Pelodiscus sinensis: one gene and its partner. The protein of the gene in region 1 interacts with the protein of each later gene in a pairwise test. Links are inferred from orthologs where the notes say so. Each region holds a gene or a part of one and is shown in the gene's direction. Other genes may lie near its edges.

Region 1 (10,141 bases):
GGGGGGTCACCCCACCATGGGGGGGCAGAGAGCCCTGGGGGGGTCACCCCACCATGGGGGGGCAGAGAGCTCTGGGGGGGTTCACCCCACCATGGGGGGCAGAGAGCCCTGGGGGGGTCACCCCACCATGGGGGGGCAGAGGGCTCTGGGGGGGTTCACCCCACCATGGGGGGCAGAGAGCTCTGGGGGAGTCACCCCACCATGGGGGGGCAGAGGGCTCTGGGGGGGTTCACCCCACCATGGGGGGCAGAGAGCTCTGGGGGGGGTCACCCCACCATGGGGGGCAGAGAGCCCTGGGGGGCGGGGGTTCACCCCACCATGGGGGGGGGGCACAGAGCTCTGGGGGGGTTCACTCCACCATGGGGAGGCAGAGAGCCCTGGGGGGCGGGGGTTCACCCCACCATGGGGGGGCAGAGAGCTCTGGGGGGGGTCACCCCACCATGGGGGGGCAGAGAGCTCTGGGGGGGTTCACCCCACCATGGGGGGCAGAGAGCTCTGGGGGGGTACATCCCACCATGGGGGGGGCAGAGAGCTCTGGGGGGGTCACCCCACCATGGGGGGGCAGAGAGCTCTGGGGGGGTACATCCCACCATGGGGGGCAGAGAGCCCTGGGGGGGTCACCCCACCATGGGGGGGCAGAGAGCTCTGGGGGGGTCACCCCACCATGGGGGGGCAGAGAGCCCTGGGGGGGTCACCCCACCATGGGGGGGCAGAGAGCTCTGGGGGGGTTCACCCCACCATGGGGGGCAGAGAGCCCTGGGGGGGGTCACCCCACCATGGGGGGGCAGAGGGCTCTGGGGAGGTTCACCCCACCATGGGGGGCAGAGAGCTCTGGGGGAGTCACCCCACCATGGGGGGGGCAGAGGGCTCTGGGGGGGTTCACCCCACCATGGGGGGCAGAGAGCTCTGGGGGGGGGGGTCACCCCACCATGGGGGACAGAGAGCTCTGGGGGGGTCACCCCACCATGGGGGGGCAGAGAGCTCTGGGGGGGGTCACCCCACCATGGGGGGGCAGAGAGCCCTGGGGGGGGGGTCACCCCACCATGGGGGGGCAGAGAGCTCTGGGGGGGTTCACCCCACCATGGGGGGCAGAGAGCCCTGGGGGGGTCACCCCACCATGGGGGGGCAGAGGGCTCTGGGGGGGTTCACCCCACCATGGGGGGCAGAGAGCCCTGGGGGAGTCACCCCACCATGGGGGGGCAGAGGGCTCTGGGGGGGTTCACCCCACCATGGGGGGCAGAGAGCTCTGGGGGGGGGTCACCCCACCATGGGGGGCAGAGAGCTCTGGGGGGGTCACCCCACCATGGGGGGGCAGAGAGCTCTGGGGGGGTACATCCCACCATGGGGGGGCAGAGAGCCCTGGGGGGGTCACCCCACCATGGGGGGGCAGAGAGCTCTGGGGGGGGTCACCCCACCATGGGGGGGGGCAGAGAGCCCGGGGGGGTCACCCCACCATGGGGGGGCAGAGAGCCCTGGGGGGCGGGGGTTCACCCCACCATGGGGGGGCAGAGAGCTCTGGGGGGGTCACCCCACCATGGGGGGGCAGAGAGCTCTGGGGGGGTACATCCCACCATGGGGGGGGGCAGAGAGCTCTGGGGGGGTCACCCCACCATGGGGGGGCAGAGAGCTCTGGGGGGGTACATCCCACCATGGGGGGGCAGAGGGCTCTGGGGGGGTTCACCCCACCATGGGGGGCAGAGAGCTCTGGGGGAGTCACCCCACCATGGGGGGGCAGAGGGCTCTGGGGGGTTCACCCCACCATGGGGGGCAGAGAGCTCTGGGGGGGTCACCCCACCATGGGGGGGGCAGAGAGCTCTGGGGGAGTCACCCCACCATGGGGGGCAGAGAGCTCTGGGGGGGTTCACCCCACCATGGGGGGGGCAGAGAGCCCTGGGGGGGTACATCCCACCATGGGGGGCAGAGAGCCCTGGGGGGGTCACCCCACCATGGGGGGGGCAGAGAGCCCTGGGGGGGTACATCCCACCATGGGGGGCAGAGAGCCCTGGGGGGGTCATCCCACCATGGGGGGGGCAGAGAGCCCTGGGGGGGTCACCCCACCATGGGGGGGGCAGAGAGCTCTGGGGGGGTTCACCCCACCATGGGGGGGCAGAGAGCCCTGGGGGGGTTCACCCCACCATGGGGGGCAGAGAGCTCTGGGGGGGTCACCCCACCATGGGGGGGCAGAGAGCTCTGGGGGGGTACATCCCACCATGGGGGGGGCAGAGAGCTCTGGGGGGGTACATCCCACCATGGGGGGGCAGAGGGCTCTGGGGGGGTTCACCCCACCATGGGGGGCAGAGAGCTCTGGGGGAGTCACCCCACCATGGGGGGGCAGAGGGCTCTGGGGGGGTTCACCCCACCATGGGGGGCAGAGAGCTCTGGGGGGGTTCACCCCACCATGGGGGGCAGAGAGCTCTGGGGGGGTCACCCCACCATGGGGGGGGCAGAGAGCTCTGGGGGGGTCACCCCACCATGGGGGGGGCAGAGAGCTCTGGGGGGGTCACCCCACCATGGGGGGCAGAGAGCTCTGGGGGGGTCACCCCACCATGGGGGGCAGAGAGCCCTGGGGGGGGTACATCCCACCATGGGGGGGCAGAGAGCCCTGGGGGGGTCACCCCACCATGGGGGGGCAGAGAGCTCTGGGGGGGTCACCCCACCATGGGGGGCAGAGAGCCCTGGGGGGGGTACATCCCACCATGGGGGGGCAGAGAGCCCTGGGGGGGTCACCCCACCATGGGGGGGCAGAGAGCTCTGGGGGGGTCACCCCACCATGGGGGGCAGAGAGCCCTGGGGGGGTGAACCTCGCCGGGGGGGGTGAGTCCGAGCGGGGGGGTGTCAGGGGCGGGAGCGAACGCGGCCGGCCCGGGGGAGGGGCGGGGGAGGGTCAGCCGGGGCAGAGGTCAGGGGTGAAGGGTCACACGGCGAAGTTGGGGCTCGCTCCCGACTCCTTGGCTCGCGGACCCGCCCCTTAGGCCCCCGCCAATGAGAAGCCGCCTCTCCCCAAGGCCCGCCCCTTCCCCGCTGTCATCACAGAACCGCACGTGGAGGAGGCGGGCGGCGGGCGGGGCTTAGGGGCGCACGTCACGGCCCCCCGCCTTGCTATTGGCTGTGACGCCGGTAAGTCTCCGGGCCCAGCCCTGGCCGCGTCACAACCGCCAATCAGCGCGAGGGGGCGGGGCCCAGAGGCGGGGTCTCAGGCTAGACCCGGAAGCAGCTGCGGGAGGCTCTCGGCGGCGCTGGGAGTCGGTGGGTGGCGGGAGCCGGGCCGGGGGAGCCGCGGGGGAAGGAGGGGTGCTCTGGGGGGCCCCACGGGAGGGGGGCGGGGGAAGGAGGGGCGCTCTGGGGGGGCCCCACGGGAGGGGGCGGGGGAAGGAGGGACGCTCTGGGGGGCCCCACGGGAGGGGGGCGGGGAAAGGAGGGGTGCTCTGGGGGGCCCCACGGGAGGAGGCGGGGGAAGGAGGGGCGCTCTGGGGGGCCCCACGGGAGGGGGCGGGGGAAGGAGGGGTGCTCTGGGGGGCCCCACGGGAGGAGGCGGGGGAAGGAGGGGCGCTCTGGGGGGCCCCACGGGAGGGGGCGGGGAAAGGAGGGGCGCTCTGGGGGGCCCCACGGGAGGAGGCGGGGGAAGGAGGGGCGCTCTGGGGGGGGCCCCACGGGAGGGGGCGGGGGAAGGAGGGGTGCTCTGGGGGGCCCCACGGGAGGAGGCGGGGGAAGGAGGGGCGCTCTGGGGGGCCCCACGGGAGGGGGGCGGGGGAAGGAGGGGCGCTCTGGGGGGCCCCACGGGAGGGGGCGGGGGAAGGAGGGACGCTCTGGGGGGGGCCCCACGGGAGGGGGGCGGGGGAAGGAGGGGCGCTCTGGGGGGCCCCACGGGAGGGGGCGGGGGAAGGAGGGGTGCTCTGGGGGGGCCCCACGGGAGGGGGGCGGGGGAAGGAGGGGTGCTCTGGGGGGGCCCCACGGGAGGAGGCGGGGGAAGGAGGGGTGCTCTGGGGGGGGCCCCACGGGAGGAGGCGGGGGAAGGAGGGGTGCTCTGGGGGGGGCCCCACGGGAGGAGGCGGGGGAAGGAGGGGTGCTCTGGGGGGGGCCCCACGGGAGGGGGGTGGGGGAAGGAGGGGTGCTCTGGGGGGGCCCCACGGGAGGGGGGCGGGGGAAGGAGGGGCGCTCTGGGGGGGGCCCCACGGGAGGGGGGCGGGGGAAGGAGGGGCGCTCTGGGGGGGGCCCCACGGGAGGGGGGCGGGGGAAGGAGGGGTGCTCTGGGGGGGCCCCACGTGGGCTGAGGGCGAGGGGTCCCTGCAAGCTGCCGGCGGGGGGTGCAGGATCCTGGCTCCCTGGGGCGCGACCCATTTCCGGGGGGGGGGGGGAGGCGGCTTGAGGCGCCCATCCAGCCCACTCTTGTCTCCCTCCCTTCGGCAGGTCCCTGTGTCGTCCCGTGAGCAGAGGCTGCAGGTAAGATCTGGGTTGGACTTGCCACGAGCCCTGCCCTTTCCAGGCCGAGCTCACTGGGGCCTGTCCCCCCCGGGCGGCGCAGGCGATCTTCCACACTGGTATTGGGAATGGGCCTTTCCCCCGAGATCCTGCACTCAGGCGCAAGTTTGGTCGTGAGTCAAGACTGTCACTGTCTGATAGGGATCAGAGGGGTCGCCGTGTTAGTCTGAATCTGCAAAAGCGGCAAGGAGTCCCGTGGCACCTTATAGCTCAGTGGTTTGAGCATTGGCCTGCTAAACCCAGGGTTGTGAGTTCAATCCTTGAGGAGGCCATTTGGGGCAAAATTTGTCAGGGGTGGTACTTGGTCCTGCTGAGAAGGCAGGGGACTGGACTCAATGATCATTCAAGGTCCCTTCCAGTTCTAGGAGATAGGCAGTCTCCATTAATAATAGAAGTGTTGGAGCCTAAGCTTTCATGGGCAAAGACCCACTTTGTCAGATGCATGTCTCCAACACTTCATTTAGTCTATAAGGTGCCACAGGACTCCTCACCACTGTCTGATAAGATGACGAAGTGTGAAAAATTGGGGTGGGGAAGTAATAGAGTCTTATATAAGACAAAGATTTCAGTAATCAAGACAGTCCAGATAAAACTGGGATATGTGATCATCCTACCTTCTGAGGACTGTTTGGATCCAAGACAAACAAATCTGTCCCTTCTGAAAGTCTTGGCAGAGGGCTGAGGTCTTAATGGGGGGACACTGTGGGGGTGGGGAAGCTTGCTGCTTTTCTGTCTGGGCTGTGCCTTGTAGATGAGTCTCCTCTTTCAGTCTCCAAGGCTATGTCTAGACTACATCCTGCTGTTGGCAGAGGGATGTAAGTGAAGCGCTTCAAAAGTGAAATGAAGCAGGGATTTAAATATCCTGTGCTTCATTTGCATAATCACGTAATGGCGCTCTTTCGAAAAAGTGCCATTTTGAAAGTGAAGCTACAGACTAGACGCGGTTCTTTAAAAAATGGGGCGCTTTTTCAAAAGATCCTGTAAACCTCAATTTCAAAAGAGCGCTTTTTGAAAGAGCGCCATTACGTAATTATGCAAATGAAGCATGGGATATTTAAATCCCGGCTTCATTTGCACTTTTGAAGTGCTTCATTTATATCCCTCTGCAGACAGGGGGATGTAGTCCTAGACTATTAAGCCAGCACTTTTACCCTTGTAAATTACTGTGTGCGTGCGTGTGGAGTGCCTGATAGCATGCCTGCCCCTCCCCAGCCCCAGTGACTTCGAATCATAGGTTCTGTAGGCCAGATTCTTTACAGCTCTTTAGGTGTCTAATGGGGAAGGCAGGCACTTCTGGAAGTCCTGCTTAGCACCTACTGCCTATAGAAATCAGTGGAAGTTACCACCAGGAGTATGGTTGAAAAGACCTTTCGGCACCTAAATGCCTTTTAAAAAAACAGTTAATAAACATTTTACAATAGCTGTTGCCCACTATTCAAGACTTGCATTTTCCCCACGAGGCCTGTGTTTCAGGAACTGTAGGTATGGAGTTCTGTTCTTTGTGCCATGTCTCTAGTGGGATGGATGGTTTGTTACTGCCACTCCGGATCATCAGATGAAGTGAGTTTTGCCCTTGAAAACTCACAATTCTATATATTTGAGTTTGTCTCTAATGTATCACAGGACCATTCCTTGTTTAGGAAGGAGCACTGCAGAAAGGAATCTAGGGATCATAGTGAACCACAAGCTAAATATGAGTCAAGCGTGTGACGCTGTTGCAAAAATAGCAAATATGATTCTGGGTTTAACAGGAGTTGTGAGCAAGACACGAGCAGTCATTTTTCCCCTCTACTCTGCATGATTAGGCCTCAGTTGGAGTATTGTATCCAGTTCTGGGCACCACATTTCAAGAAAGATGTGGAGAAGTTGGAGAAGCGCCAGAGAAGAGCAACAAAAATGCTGTAAAGGTCTAGGAAACATGAGCTATGAGGGAAGGCTGAAAGAACTGGGCTTGTTTAGGCTGGAAAAGAGAAGACTGAGAGTGGACAAGATAGGTTCATGAACACTGCTGAAAGGGTGTTATAAAGAGGAGGGAAGAAAAATTGTTCTTCTTGGCCTCTGAGGACAGGACAAGAAGCAAGGGGCTCAAACTGCAGCCAGGGAGGTTTAGGTTGGGCATTAGGAAAAACTTCCTGCCAGTCAGGGGGGTTAAGCACTGGAGTCAGTTGTCTAGGGAGGTTGTGGAATCTCCATCTCTGGAGCTATTGAAGAGCAGGTTCGAGACACCTGACAGGGATGATGTAGATGGTGCTTGGTCCTGCCCGTGAGGACAGGAGACTGGGCTTCCTCCGGTTACAGTATTTTATGATTCTGTGTGTTGCTCATTAAACATTATTTCCCTGTTGAGCTTCAATCCATGGAATAGCCATAAAGCAGGGGTGATTCTAACCTGGGGGTAGGCAATAATTTTTGGCCCGGGGCCACTTCAAAAATGTTTAAAGTAGCCCCTGGCCACCCTGGAAGGGGCAGGGCCTAGATGGGAAGGGGGCGGGCCTAAACAGGAGGGGTGGGGCTATACCATCCCCAGACCATGATTGATCTGGGGGTGGGGGAACCCTTCTGCCCCCCTTCCCACTAGGCGCCTATGCCCTGGAAGAGGCTTGGCACGCTCCCCCACCCTCAGGCCAATCAGAGGGTGGGGCAAAGGAAGCTTCAAGCAGGTCCCCCGCCCCCAGGCCTTGATTGGCAGGGGAGTGGGCAAAACCTCCTCCACTCTTCGCCCCCCTTCCCCCTCAGCCCTGTGAGCAGCGTGCAGTGTTTCAAAGCGCCCCATGCTCCTGGCAGGGCAGGAGGAGGCTCTGCACGCTCCCCCACTGTCAGGCCCTAATTGGCTGGGGGCGGGGGCGCGGCAGGGCCTCCGCGGGCTGGATCCACTGGCGTGGCTGGCTGGATCCAACCTGTGGAGGCCCTTTTGCTCACCCCTGTGCTAACCCCTGTCTTGTATGACAGCCACAGAGCTCTGGAGACTGCATGTCCCAGCCTGCAGAGCTCCCCTTTAACCTCTGAACAGTCTAGTCTACCCCCAGTGCATGCTGGGATCTGTAGTCTCTTGGACCCTGCCGCTCCCCTTGCCGTAAGTGACAGCCACAGCTTGTATATTGTGGCAGTAGCCCATGGTCGGCATCATCCAGTCACCCCAAGGTCTCAGCTATAGGAGCTGCCTCCTGCTCCCTGGCTGGCTCCTTGCTGGGCTCTTGCTAGGATCCCGTGAGTTCTCCTGCCTGGACTCCCCTGGCTCCGAGTGCGGCACACAGGTTTGGGAAGCTAGGCTGAGCGCAGGAAAGGGGGAGCTGTCTGTCTGGGTCTGGCTGTTGGGAAAACCTCCTTGGAGTCCCAGCCTGGGACTTAGCTGCTCTCCAGAGCCTGTACTTTGGAGTCCCTTGGCTCCAGGTGCCTTGAACGTGCAGGGCAGCGTCATCGCTGCAGTTCAGTAGCGTCTGTGACTCAGCGTGTTTCCCTTCCCCTCTGGGGAGGGTTGGCTTTTTCTCTGTCACTGGAGCACTTCCCTCAGGAAAGGCGGAAGAAGAGCAGCATTGACGCTCTGGCTTTCCCAGCTGGTGGTCCGCAATGTGCTCTGGGCTCTGCTGTGTGAGCTAGGACTCCCTCAGCTCCAGGGGTGGGGGTGCTGAGCTGCTGAACCACACGGCAAACCCTGCGTGTGACGGAAACCGCTCGGAGCAGCCCTCCTACCCCCAGCACTCGTGCTCAGCTCTGCCGGCGGCTTGGGAAGAGGAACTGTCTGGACACGGTGACTGCTCTGCCTCTCTTGTGGCCAGTTGGGAAGGAGTGGTGGTAGCAGCGGGGACTTGTGGGGCCCTAACCTTGCTGCTGACAAGGCAGGGAGACGAGTTTGAGGCTCCTTCACCTCCCATGTGGGGCATCCCAGCCCTTGCTCTCTTGGGGGTCAGTTCTCATGCTTCACTGGGAATGGCTTGGGTGGGTGTTCAGTGTGGATCGGATCCCCCCCATGCTTTCCCCAGTCCTGTGACCTCAGCTTTTTGGCCAAGGAGGGACAGAGGCTCCGTCCCCCAGACTTGAGCTTGGAGCTTAGGGGAGACCCGGTGTGCTGGGTGGGGGCCCTCCAGGAGCACTGTTCAGCTGCCTCCTTCCCCAGCTGTCGCCTGTCTCCTGGGGTCTCTCAAGTGGTCTCCCTGCAAGATCTGCTGCTTGGCTGGTACCGAGTGACTTCTGCTGGCACAAGGCTTGCGGGGAAAGGGAGCCACTTGGTACCAGCTGGTGGGAGGCAGAGATCACGCCGCCAAAGGGCCCTTGCCCCATCCAGAGGAGGGGAAGGAGCTTTCCGAGGACAATGGAGTGGGAACCTGCTATTTATGGGGTGGAGTCCTACTTACAATTCAAATCGGCCATTTCCTTCCCCCGCCCTCCTCTCCGGGGAAACGGGAGCCCTGAGGTGTCTCTGCTCTTCAGCCTCTGTGTCCTGTGCAGTGTGAGCGCCTGGAGCGGCCATGTGCTTTGCCCCAGCCTTCCCCCATCTCCAGGCTGTCAGGCCAACCAGGCCCTCTCCTTGTTCCATAAGAAACCCCTGTGTTCTGCCTGCTCTCACGGGGCCCTTGGGGCACTAGATCAGAGCCCAGGGCTTGCTGCTTGTTTCCTTCCTTTCCCTTGTGTTCCCACTTCTGCCTCACTCCTAGTCTTCTCTCTGCCCGGCCTTTATTGCCTGGCCACCAGGCCGGATTGCTCCTTCTCCTTTCCAAGCTGGCGGGTGTGTCCTGAGCCTCGGACGTTGGGTCAGATGGGTGTGTTCCCCTCCAACGTGCTTGACTCCAAATCCATCTTCCGCCGTCCACTGTGCGGGAAGGGTGTCTGAGGAAATCGGCTGGGCTGAGGTGTCAATAGGGATATGTCTAGACTACATGCCTCTGGCGACAGAGCCGTGTAGATTAGGCCACCCGGCATAGGGAAACGAAGCAGCGATTTAAATAATCGCCCCTTCATTTAAATTGAAATGGCTGCCGCTCTGTGCCGATCGGCTGTTTGTCGGCTTGGCGCGCTAGTCTGGATGCTCCGCGGTGGACAGCAAAGGCATTTGTCGACTTCCCCGGTGTGCCTCGTGGGATGAGGTTTACCAGGGAGGTCGACAAATGCTTTTGTCGACCATGGAGCATCCAGACTAGCGCGCCGAGCCGACAAACAGCCGATCGGCACAGCGCAGCAGCCATTTCAATTTAAATGAAGGGGCGATTGTTTAAATTGCTGCTTCATTTCCCTATGCTCAGTGAACAAATCTACATGGCTCCGTCGGCAGAGCCATGTAGTCTAGACATACCCTAGGTGTGCTCCGGTACGATGCACTTGCAGCGCATCTAATTCAGGGTAAATTGCTTAGGGCTGCTTAAAGCCCTGGACTGCCAGTCGGACTCCTTACATGGATCAGTGGTTAGGAAAACCAGTTTCATCAAATGACAACTTCTTCTGATCCCAAAGGGCCAGCCGCACGCCCAGGTCAACTCAGAGTTTGTCCAGAAAACCCTGTTGTTTCCAGTCCTTTAGCATCTCAAATCTAAAGCGTGAGTCCCAGACCGAAAGAAGTGAGGGCTGGAAGTAATTAAGGGACTAGAATCCACACAATAAATGCCGAGTTCGGAGTTCAGGCTTGTAGCACTGTTGGAACAAACTGCTGGCTCAAGTCCAGTCTCTGGCT
Region 2 (10,141 bases), on another chromosome or scaffold:
TTTGTTCACTTTACCATATGTTTTTTTAAAAATATTCTGAAAATAGTAACCATTTTGAGTATCTGCTATAGTGTTTTTTTCTGATGTTAACCTATTCCAAGTGGTATTTGATATTATTTAGCTATATTTTTGTCATGCCCATTGTAATTTGTATCCTCATTTGTACATGGGGTATATTGTGTGTCTTAGAAAAAATATATGTAAAGAATACCAACTAAAATCTTGCCAATATTAGTTAAGTATATAATTTGTGTATGTCAGTTGTATATTTTTGAATTTGTTTTGAAGTTAGTGCAGTTTTAATTTAGCAAATCAGTTTCAACTTATCACTGGAATATGCAGTGATTATACTTGTTACCTAGCTGCTTGCATAAAATCAGGTCTTAATAGTAAGGCAATAGACATTGATATCCAGTGAAAATAATAGTACAGTAGTTCTAAGTATTCTTTCATTCTTGCCCAAACTCTATTAGCACTGAACAAAACCTTCTGTAAGAATGCTGTTAAGTTGCAGTGGTTGTTAAATTCCTGCAAGATGTGTGCAGAATTGTGCATTGGGTAGAAATCAACCAAAAATGTCCCCAAAACTTTGATTGCAACAAAAGAAAGGTGACTTGAGACTTTTGTGTTCCTGCATTTAGGCTTATTTTAGAATGCAGTTTAAAAAAACAGAATCGCTTATAAAAAATTACTAGATTACTGTACTAAAGTCAATAATATCTCTACAAAATAGCATTGGTTCTGTCCAAACTGTAATACAAAGGAGCAACTCCATCTCTGCCCTTTGGATTTAGAGGCAGAGACAGTTTTGTCCATCATCCTAGTTGGAAGCCTCCATATAAGCCTGTCACCTGGAAATAGCAAAAAAGAAAATATTCTGACTGCTTTCACTTTGTTTACAAAAATGGTTTGCATAAAATAAGTATATTTATTCTCTTGTTATTGAATGAAAATAGTTATAATTTTCCTATATTAAATGTACACACTTTTATATGGCATTGATTTTGTAAATAATACTCTACAATTTGATATTCTTTATGTAAATATAATTATTTTAATAAAATTAATGATTTAAGTGGTTAAAATAGTTTCTGCTGTTGACTTAACCATAGATATGTCGATTGGACTTGCACTTGTTGCTTGCAAACTACAGTTGTTAATGTGCTCCATTTAATTTGTTATACTTGCCAATTTTGTGTCCTCTTTTTTGCTTAAAACTGTTGTAATACATAATAATGAATTAATACAAGTCTTCTATGTAATGCAACAGATTTTTGTTACAAATATAGGCCACATGATGAGAATAATAAAAAGAACATTCTTTAAAATGGATAGGAAAGAAGTACTAATGTTTCGGTAGTGGTCTCTTCATAGAATTTTCAGTGGTTAATTATGAGAAACCTTCATTGGTGTTTCCATGCCAGAAAAAATAAGTATTGAATATCTGTCTATCAAGTGTAGAGGTTAACATTCCTAGATAAAGGTGTCTTTAATTACAAGAGAGAGGAATAAATAAAATATTTTCCCCCAAACACTGTGCTAATGATTTTTTTCCTGTATATGATTCACGTAGCGACTGGAAAAAAAAGGAAAGGATTCATTACTATTCTTAGGATTCTTATTTTAATTATCAGCTGTTTAGTTGACAAAGCTGCCTATTTCTTTTTCAGATAAATTTACAGTGTAGCTTAATTTAAATTACATTTTTAAAAAGAGCAATATCATGGACAAATTGCCCCCTTGTTCCACTCACTAAAAATACATGCTTCATAAAATTTCTTGTATGAAGTCTCTTCCAAAGACACTTGAAAAACGGGGGAGAGGAGTAATTAATCTGAGAAACTCTTGAGATTAAACTTCAAGAAGTGATGACATTTAAAAACTGTTGTAATTGTACTCAAAATTAAATGACTTGCATGAGAGCAGTCAAAGATTGCTGATGTAATCTAACAGAGCTTGTCCTGAGTTTCTGATATTTAGAACTTCTGCTAAAGCTTTCTGTATACCTTTCGATTAATGATTTAAATGGCTTCATGTTTTTTACCTTAAGACTTTTGTAGCCTTTTTGAGAGACATTTACTACTGTGATGGAGAGCATGGTTATAATTGGAACATAAAAGTAATGATCATCTGAAGCTTCTGGATTATTGAAATGCTTTATTGTGGGATCAGAATGCTTTCTGATATTTTAAATAGCTACTCATTTTTTAAAGTATAAGAATACATTAAAATAGGTTGAAGATCAATGTAGTAGTGAAATGGATTTTAAATTATTTTTCTGAATTGTCAGAGATAGAAACCTTGCTTAGAAAGATACATTTGAGTGAATCTTAAACAAAAATAAAGGGGAAAGAGCTCTTTGAGAGGCTCATGTTAATGGCAAATACCATGCTAATATCAGTGAGGGTAGAAGTGGAAGTTTAGGTCAAATCAGGGTGGTTTTGTTACCAGGTTGGTCAAATAGTTTATTAAGAAGGGCTATGTGTTATAGCACCTCGTTTGGGTTTAGAGAAAAGGGCACTTAGTTTTCACATTATCCACTAATTAATTTCACTTCATGCTCCTTATTTGTGAAGGTTTTCACTTTGCTTTAAATGCTTAAAAAGACAACTCTCTAGTAAGTTATACAGGTATAGTCTCCATTCTGCAAGTTTCTTCTGAGAAGAAAAAAAACATGAATTGAAGTTTGGAAAATGCGATGTTCAATGGAAAATGAACATATATTTCATACTCTTTCCTGAAAAGAACATACTATTTGTGTAATTTGGTGTGCTTATCACGAAGAAGGCTAGTTCATGTGGTATGGGCTTTAACCAGGCCACTACTTTGAGTCAAGTTACATCCAAGCATCCTGTCAGTAGACAGCCTTGTACAGTCACTCACGGCCCAGGGTCCTATTGAAGATCTACCACCTAGAAACTTTATTTCCTGGTATTTGCAAATTTTACCAAAATCTTTCAATGTAAGATTTATCGAAAGAGAGAAACAGAATTCTATTTCTTGGCAATGACATAATAATAAACAGCTCTTCTGTACACTTGACATGCAAGGCTTGATTAAGCCCAGAGATAAATTGGTTCATCATAGTGTAATCTAGGGAATATAATGGTGGAAAGCATGGTCTAGGGTCTGCAATGTCTCAAGCCACAACCAACAATCCTGTTTTAAGCTGCTTAATTTCAGCTGCTTAATTTTAACTGGATATAAAAAATTCACTGAAGGCTGGTACAACAGTGCAGTGAATGAACTGTTCTGTAGTGGGAGTGGTGGATAGTGTAACCTTAGCCCAAACACTGGTGTGGTTACCTCTGCTCCAAGTCTAATGCGGCCAGCCCTGAGATGAGCATTAAGAGAGGTCCAGAGAAAAGCCATTCACTTTCCACTGATATGAATCTAATCACCAGAAAACTGCATTGAAGGCATCAACCATCCCACTGTATAAATAACTAGCAGGAAGCTGTGATGTAATATTAAATCCCATAGCCCTTTCCTAAATTGGAAGGGTGTGGTATTTTAATGTCTCCCTTCCACCCCTACCCACAAAACCTATGCAGAATACAGGCAGTCCCCGGGTTACGTACAAGATAGGGACTGTAGGTTTGTTCTTAAGTAGAATCTGTATGTAAGTCGGAACTGGCGTCCAGATTCAGACACTGCTGAAACTGACCGCCAGTTCTGACTTGCATACAGAATCAACTTAAGAACCCCAGGCGTCCCCAAGTCAGCTGCTGCTGAAACTGATCAGCAGCTGATTCCAGGAAGCCCGGGGCAGAGCAACTCTGCCTGGGGCTTCCTGTAGTCAGCGCTGGTCAGTTTCAGCAGAAGCTGACTTGGGGACGCCTGGGGCAGATCAGCTGGGGTGCTGCCGGGTTGGTCCAGTAGTGCCCAGAGCGGGCGCTGCAGGACCAATTGGCAGCGCCCCAGCTGCTCTGCCCCAGAGTCCAAAACAAAAGCCTGGTCTGCTGGGAGGGGGGGGAAGCACACTAGCTGCGCCCCTCCCCCCCCCCCAGCAGACCAGGGACACAGGGAGCAGAGCCGCAGCGGCAGCGGCTCTCGCAAAGCCTCAGAGGCGAGGGACCCCGCCGCGGCTACGACTTCAGTCCCGGTGCCTGTGGTCTGCTGGGGACGGTCCCCAGCAGACCACAGGCTCCCGGACTGAAGCCGCAGCCGCGGGGGGGTCCCGCGCTTCTGAGGCTTTGCCAGAGTAAAGCCTCAGAGGCGCGGGGAACCGCCGCTGCTGCCGCTTCAGTCTGGGTGCCTGTGGTCTGCTGGGGATGGTCCCCAGCAGACCACAGGCACCCAGACTGAAGCGGCAGCAGCGGCGGTTCCCCGCGCCTCTGAGGCTTTGCTCTGGCAAAGCCTCAGAAGCGCGGGAACCCGCCCGGTGCCCCTGGTCTGCTGGAGACGGTCTCCAGCAGACCAGGGGCACCGGAGCAGCTTACGAACGGGGCTTTCTCGCCCCGACCTCCGGGGCGAGAAAGCCCTGTTTGTAAGTGCGGATCCGACGTAAGTCAGATCCGCGTAAGTCGGGGACTGCCTGTACCCCAAAAACTGTAAGCAGGAGTTTTAATGTTAATTTTGAGTTTTATCGAGTATCTTGAATGTTTTCAAAGAATCTGTGCACAAAAAAGCTGGAGATTAATATGTTCATTCCCTTCCCCGCCTTCCACTATAGATTTTTTTACTAAAGCGCCTCTTTCTAGGTCTTTGAAACATTGTCCTTGAAAAATGCTCTTTTAAGGATCTCCTCTGTGGTCTGTTTTTGTCTACCATCTGTAAACACAATATGACAAAGAATGATTTCAATCCAGTGACAAGGGAACCAGCTATTTGCATGTCATGAGGTCTAAGGGAAATAAACTGTCCCTCAGCCGTCTTCTACACAGCCAAAATTTGATAGGACCCTCAAATAGCTCTGGCAGAGTATTCTGTTTCTTTTGGACTTGATGAATGCTTATTTCTGTGAAAGCTAATCTAATTATTTTCCCCCTTTATTTTGCTACACAAGTCAGAAGAAGAAGCAGCTTGAACCAGTTGTGAGTATTATAGAAACTGCTTTTCCTTATTATTTCTCTTTCCGCTCTTTTAGTTGATACGTTTTAAAATATTTAGGTCAGTTGACCTGGTAATCAATTGAAAGTTTGTGAATTAAGCAAGAACTTTTTCTTTTCGGTCACTGATTAATTCTGATTTTTGTTTGTTTGTTTCTAGTAGTGTTTTAATAGAATTAGTTTATATAATTGATGGAATTTGTGACATAGACTAAAAAGAACATTGTCATTAAGACTGGCTGAGGCCATATACTTTGGTGAATCTTCTTTGGATTGCCTACAGAATTCTGTGAACATATTCAAACAAGATTGTTGCTGATTTCAATGAACTGTTTTCAATGTATTAATTTTTAAAAATTAGATAAGTAGGAATCAACCAATATGCTGTAAATTCTGTTTTCTTCTACTAGCCTACTTTCTTCCTACCTGCCACTGAGAACAAAAGCTTTCAACGAGGCATTTATGATGAGATACCTAAAGTTATTTTTGCTGCAAACAGTGGATTGTTCTTGTTGCTTATTTAATGTAAAATTAACTTGTTGGATTTCTAAGTTTACACATGATATAAATCTCAATCAACATTATTTCATTTTTTCTCCTCCACTATTATGTCGGAGTCTCAGCTTTTAAAAGATCTCTGCTACAGATTTTGTATTTACTGTACTAAGTACTATATTAAGAGGATGTGCCAGTGCTTAGTTAAAAAAAAAAGCACTACTTAAATGTCTATTTACACGGTTTGCATTAAAAAGCTTTATGGACAATGACATTGAAATTTTCTGTAACAGAATGTCAACAACATAGATTAATTGTTGTACTATCTGGTTTTATGTATGAAGTACATTCAGTCAATTTTTCTTTTACTAATGAGTCCCAAAAATCAAACTTTGATAAACACAATTTAAATTGTAATCACATCCCTGTTCTGAAATACACTATTTTGTATCTTTTTTCTTATTTTCAGCAGATTAGTTACATGCCTAAAGCTTGACATAGAACCTCTTATAGTAAGAAAATAACTTTGTGATGCTTGTCTTGTTCACATCTAACATTTATGCCCACATTTGTCTTCAGTATGTATGATTAGTTGACATTTCTTGAAGTATTTTAACAGAACAGAATGGAACAGATTTATGTATTAATGTTATCACATTGCTGACAGTCTTGCCATGTAATTTTATTGCACTGTCACAAAAGGCACTTTGATTTTAGATTGCATAATTTGCAGAAATTTAAGATGCTATACCAATCTTCTTGTAATAGTAAAAAAATAATAATGAAAAAACGAGTTGTTTGAAAAAGACTCTGATCAGTTTTGACCTATGGTGTCTCAAGGTTATTTGCAGGGAGAAAAGTTTAAGGATTTTATTTATTGGTTAATTGGTAGACATTGTAAGGTTCATAGTTAGTTGTCCTTTTAATCACAGTTGTTCTTTTGCTAATAAAGCCAGTGTTTTCAATTTTTTGTATTTTACTTTTATGGTTGAATTTTACTTCTCATAAAAGTTGAAGTCTAATAGCATTGACTAATTGAATATAAAGAGGGGGAAAGTGCAAACTCTCCAGAAGAATTCTTCTAATAATGGAAAGCTGAAGTCCAGGGGTAAAATACTAGATCTGTTCAAATCAATGCAAAACTTTCCTTGACTTCAATATGGCCAGATTTCACCTGGTTAGGAGCCAAGAACCTTAGGAACAGTATCCTCCTTAATTTGTGTAGAAATTTCCCGACTGGTTTGATGAGAGATCAGGTTGTGTAGTGCTCCCACTGAATCAAAGCCCTTCCAGTCTAGCGATCTGTGAAGCTCCAAATGCTGTGTTCATAGACAGTGGAATGATGCATTGCAACATACTTTCTACTTGTCTTTCTCTAGTAGATTTTTTTGGGGGGGAGGGGAAGGGGAGAGAGGTGGGTAGGAGTAGGGACTGGAAAGCATCCAAAAATGTTTAGATGGCTTTTGCAAATCTCAGCCCACATATTTAAACTTTACCTTCTTGTAAACTCGTATAGAATTGGAGAGGGGTAACATTAATTAAAGCGTACCAGAAATTTAATAAGGCAGCATATAAGTTATTCCACAAATATAGAGAATTTAATGGATACTTATATAAACTATCCATTAGAATTCTATAGCAGGGATATAATCTTCTATGAAATAGTACAGCGTGGTCCAAAAAAGTAGTGGGTCAATTCTCCTTATTGTTTCCAGATTCCTTTTCTTTGAGCTAAAGCTTTTCTTTGACTATGGTTAATATTATTCCTTCAAAAGCTTCCTTCCATTTGCATCTTGCTCTCTCACCTTCACAAACCTCTGCCCTTGAGGTTGTGCTGATTTTTAGTTTTCCCTTGTTGGATTCTTCATCATTTCAGTGTTCCTTCTTAGTTACCATCCCAGCTAAAATTCTAGAACTGGTAATTTTAATAGGGCTTCTGAAATACATAAGTGCTGTCCAAGGGGTTATAACCCTTTACACAACTTACTAGTTACTACTGAAATGGTATTTGTAACTTTTTATTTACTCTCACAACGTGAGGGTACTTCACCATCACCGATGGTTGCATTTTTACTGTTTTAATTTGTTTTGGGTAAATCTGATTTGTTTTACATTCATCAAAGTATTAATAAGATCTCTTCGTTCCATCAGGTATGGGACCTTGCTTCTGAGGAAGCTCCCTTGGCTCAGTGCTAGCCTTCAATCTTGTTCCCTCTTCCATGACTACTTCTGTAGTGGCACAATGTGCCTTTCTTCCCCCACCCCCAATACCTATGACCTTTTTTTCTGTCAGAGAATGAAACTAAGACAAAGGACATGGCAAAGGTAGGGCCATGGCTTTGGATTTTGGAGACAGGTTCAATGCCATATTCTATCACAGACTTCCTATGTGCCTCTGGGCATGTTAGCTTTTCTGTGCCTCAGTTCCCCATCTATAAAATGGGGATAATGACTCAGGAGTGTTGTGAGGATAAATTCGTCATAAATTCTGAAATACTGAGATACCATCGTAATGGTGGTATATAATCACAATAGAGAGAGAAACATGAAGCAGTAGTTAAAAACAAACAGAACTCCTTGCTGGAACTTTGCATGCCATTCTATGACTACGAACAACTTCCAGATTTTTTTTCAGATGATTAATGTTCATTTTCCTCTTTTCCCCACCATCTATATATGGACAACCAATATTTCTAATGATCTAGGACTACGAGGCTTTCACATTTTACAACTGGATGCCATTGGGTGAGTCTCTTCACATTGCATGTAGGCGAGATTCACAGTTTGGGTTCAAAAATACTTTTGTCAAAATGGAACACACTCCAAGGCTGTGTCTAGACTGGCCAGTTTTTCTGGAAAATCAGCCGCTTTTCCAGAAAAACTTGCCAGCTGTCTACACTGGCCTCTTGAATTTACGCAAAAGCACTGACTTCCTACTGTAAGAAATCAGTGCTTTTCGCGGAAATAGTATGCTGCTCCTGTTCAGGCAAAAGTCTCTTTTGCACAAAACTTTTGCGCAAAAGGGCCAGTGTAGACAGCTGAAATTTGTTTTGCACAAAAAAGCCCCGATCGCGAAAATGGCAATTGGGGCTTTTTTGTGAAAAAGCACGTCTAGATTGGCCACGGACGCTTTTCCGCAAAAAGTGCTCTTGCGGAAAAGCATCCGTGCCAATCTAGATGCTCTTTTCTGAAAATGCTTTTAACGGAAAACTTTTCCGTTAAAAGAATTTCCGGAAAATCATGCCAGTCTAGACGTAGCCCAACAGGTTTATGGTATATTAGGCATGAATAGGAAAATTCATATGATTTCAATGCAAAATCATGCCAACACAGGCATGCTGGAAAATGAGCTCAAATTCATTGGAAAAATTCACAATCCTTTGCAAACCTTTCAGCCGGCATGGGCTATGTTTCCACTTTATTACTTAACCCAAAATCAGGCAAGTTTTCCTGAGAATTGTATAGCCTTAGTTACATCCCTAAATGCATAACTAATGTGCGTAAGTTGATGTCTAGAACTTTTTATTGTGCCTCCTTCTTTACAAATTCCTACTTCCTGATAACAATACTTTTTAAAATTACCCATCATGCAGCCTTTGCAGTTAACCATCCATCAGCATTTTAGTGACTACTGTGAACTGAAATATGGTCTTGTGTTTAAGGCCATTGGCATAATTTGGAAGGAGCATGTGGGCCATTGCTGCCTCAAACAGCAAGCCTTTGGCAGACAAAGAATTTGCAATCCACCCACATGCTATATTGCTGTCCCACTGGCCTTACTGGAGTTTCCCTAATACAGAAGTCAGACTAAGTGAAAGGACTGACCTTAGGACTTCCATTATGTCCTTGGAAAAGTCACTTAAAGTCTCTGTGTCTCACCTGTGAAATAAGGGGTTTTGTTTCCTTTTCTGAAGAAAACATGAAGATGGTCCCTATTTCACAAGGACATTATGATGGCTAATTAACAACTGCAAAGTTCACTGAGTTCCCTTAGTGGGAGACACTGTATAACTGCTAAGCACACTGCTGTTATCAGAAGCTGCTTCTCCTGTCTCCTTTTATCCCAGGGATTAAATGCAGCAGAAATTTATCATTTGTATGTTATCTTAACATGACAGATGATTCTATTGTCATCCATGAAATTGCTGCTGCTGCTGCTTGTCCTCACCATACCCACACAACTGACTGGAGTTAAAAGATTTAATCACAATTTGGAATAAGAAACACCCCAGGTACTGAAGTTGCTCATTAAGGATTGTGTTCGGTACACCCTCACCAGTGGTTGAGATCACACGTACAGACCTAAAGCAATACAAATTAAGAAAAAAGTAATGTAGTTAGTGATATGTTAAATCCTCCTTTTAGCCTGGGGTGGGAAACCTAAGTCTCTAGGGCTAGATACAGCCCCTGGCTCGTCTGGATTGGCCCCCAAGGCTCAGCCCCCTGCCACCACTTCAATCTACTAGCCTGGGCCTGCCTAGGCTCTGATGTGCAAAGGGATTGTGAGGAGATTTTTCTGCTTCTCAGTCGGGGGCCACATATATATGGGGGGGGGGGTTCTCACTTGTGTGGCCTCCAATTGATTTTTCTGTGGG

Evidence for each region.
Region 2: the proteins of ATOSB (region 1) and FHL5 interact in binary tests that used the Homo sapiens proteins (3 or more experiments, as listed by UniProt). The two-hybrid records come from large-scale screens. The link is inferred for Pelodiscus sinensis from reciprocal best matches to the Homo sapiens genes ATOSB and FHL5.

What each region holds. Positions count from the first base shown.
Region 1 is NC_134716.1:128,859,765-128,869,905, reverse strand, and holds the start of ATOSB (atos homolog protein B), read left to right. Parts: upstream 1-3,137; 5' UTR 3,138-3,246; intron 3,247-4,407; 5' UTR 4,408-4,440; intron 4,441-10,141. UniProt on the Homo sapiens protein: Transcription regulator that may syncronize transcriptional and translational programs.
Region 2 is NC_134713.1:68,353,296-68,363,436, forward strand, and holds the start of FHL5 (four and a half LIM domains protein 5), read left to right. Parts: upstream 1-4,467; 5' UTR 4,468-4,950; coding exon 4,951-5,036; intron 5,037-8,251; coding exon 8,252-8,291; intron 8,292-9,664; exon of another isoform or gene 9,665-9,778; intron 9,779-10,141. UniProt on the Homo sapiens protein: May be involved in the regulation of spermatogenesis. Stimulates CREM transcriptional activity in a phosphorylation-independent manner.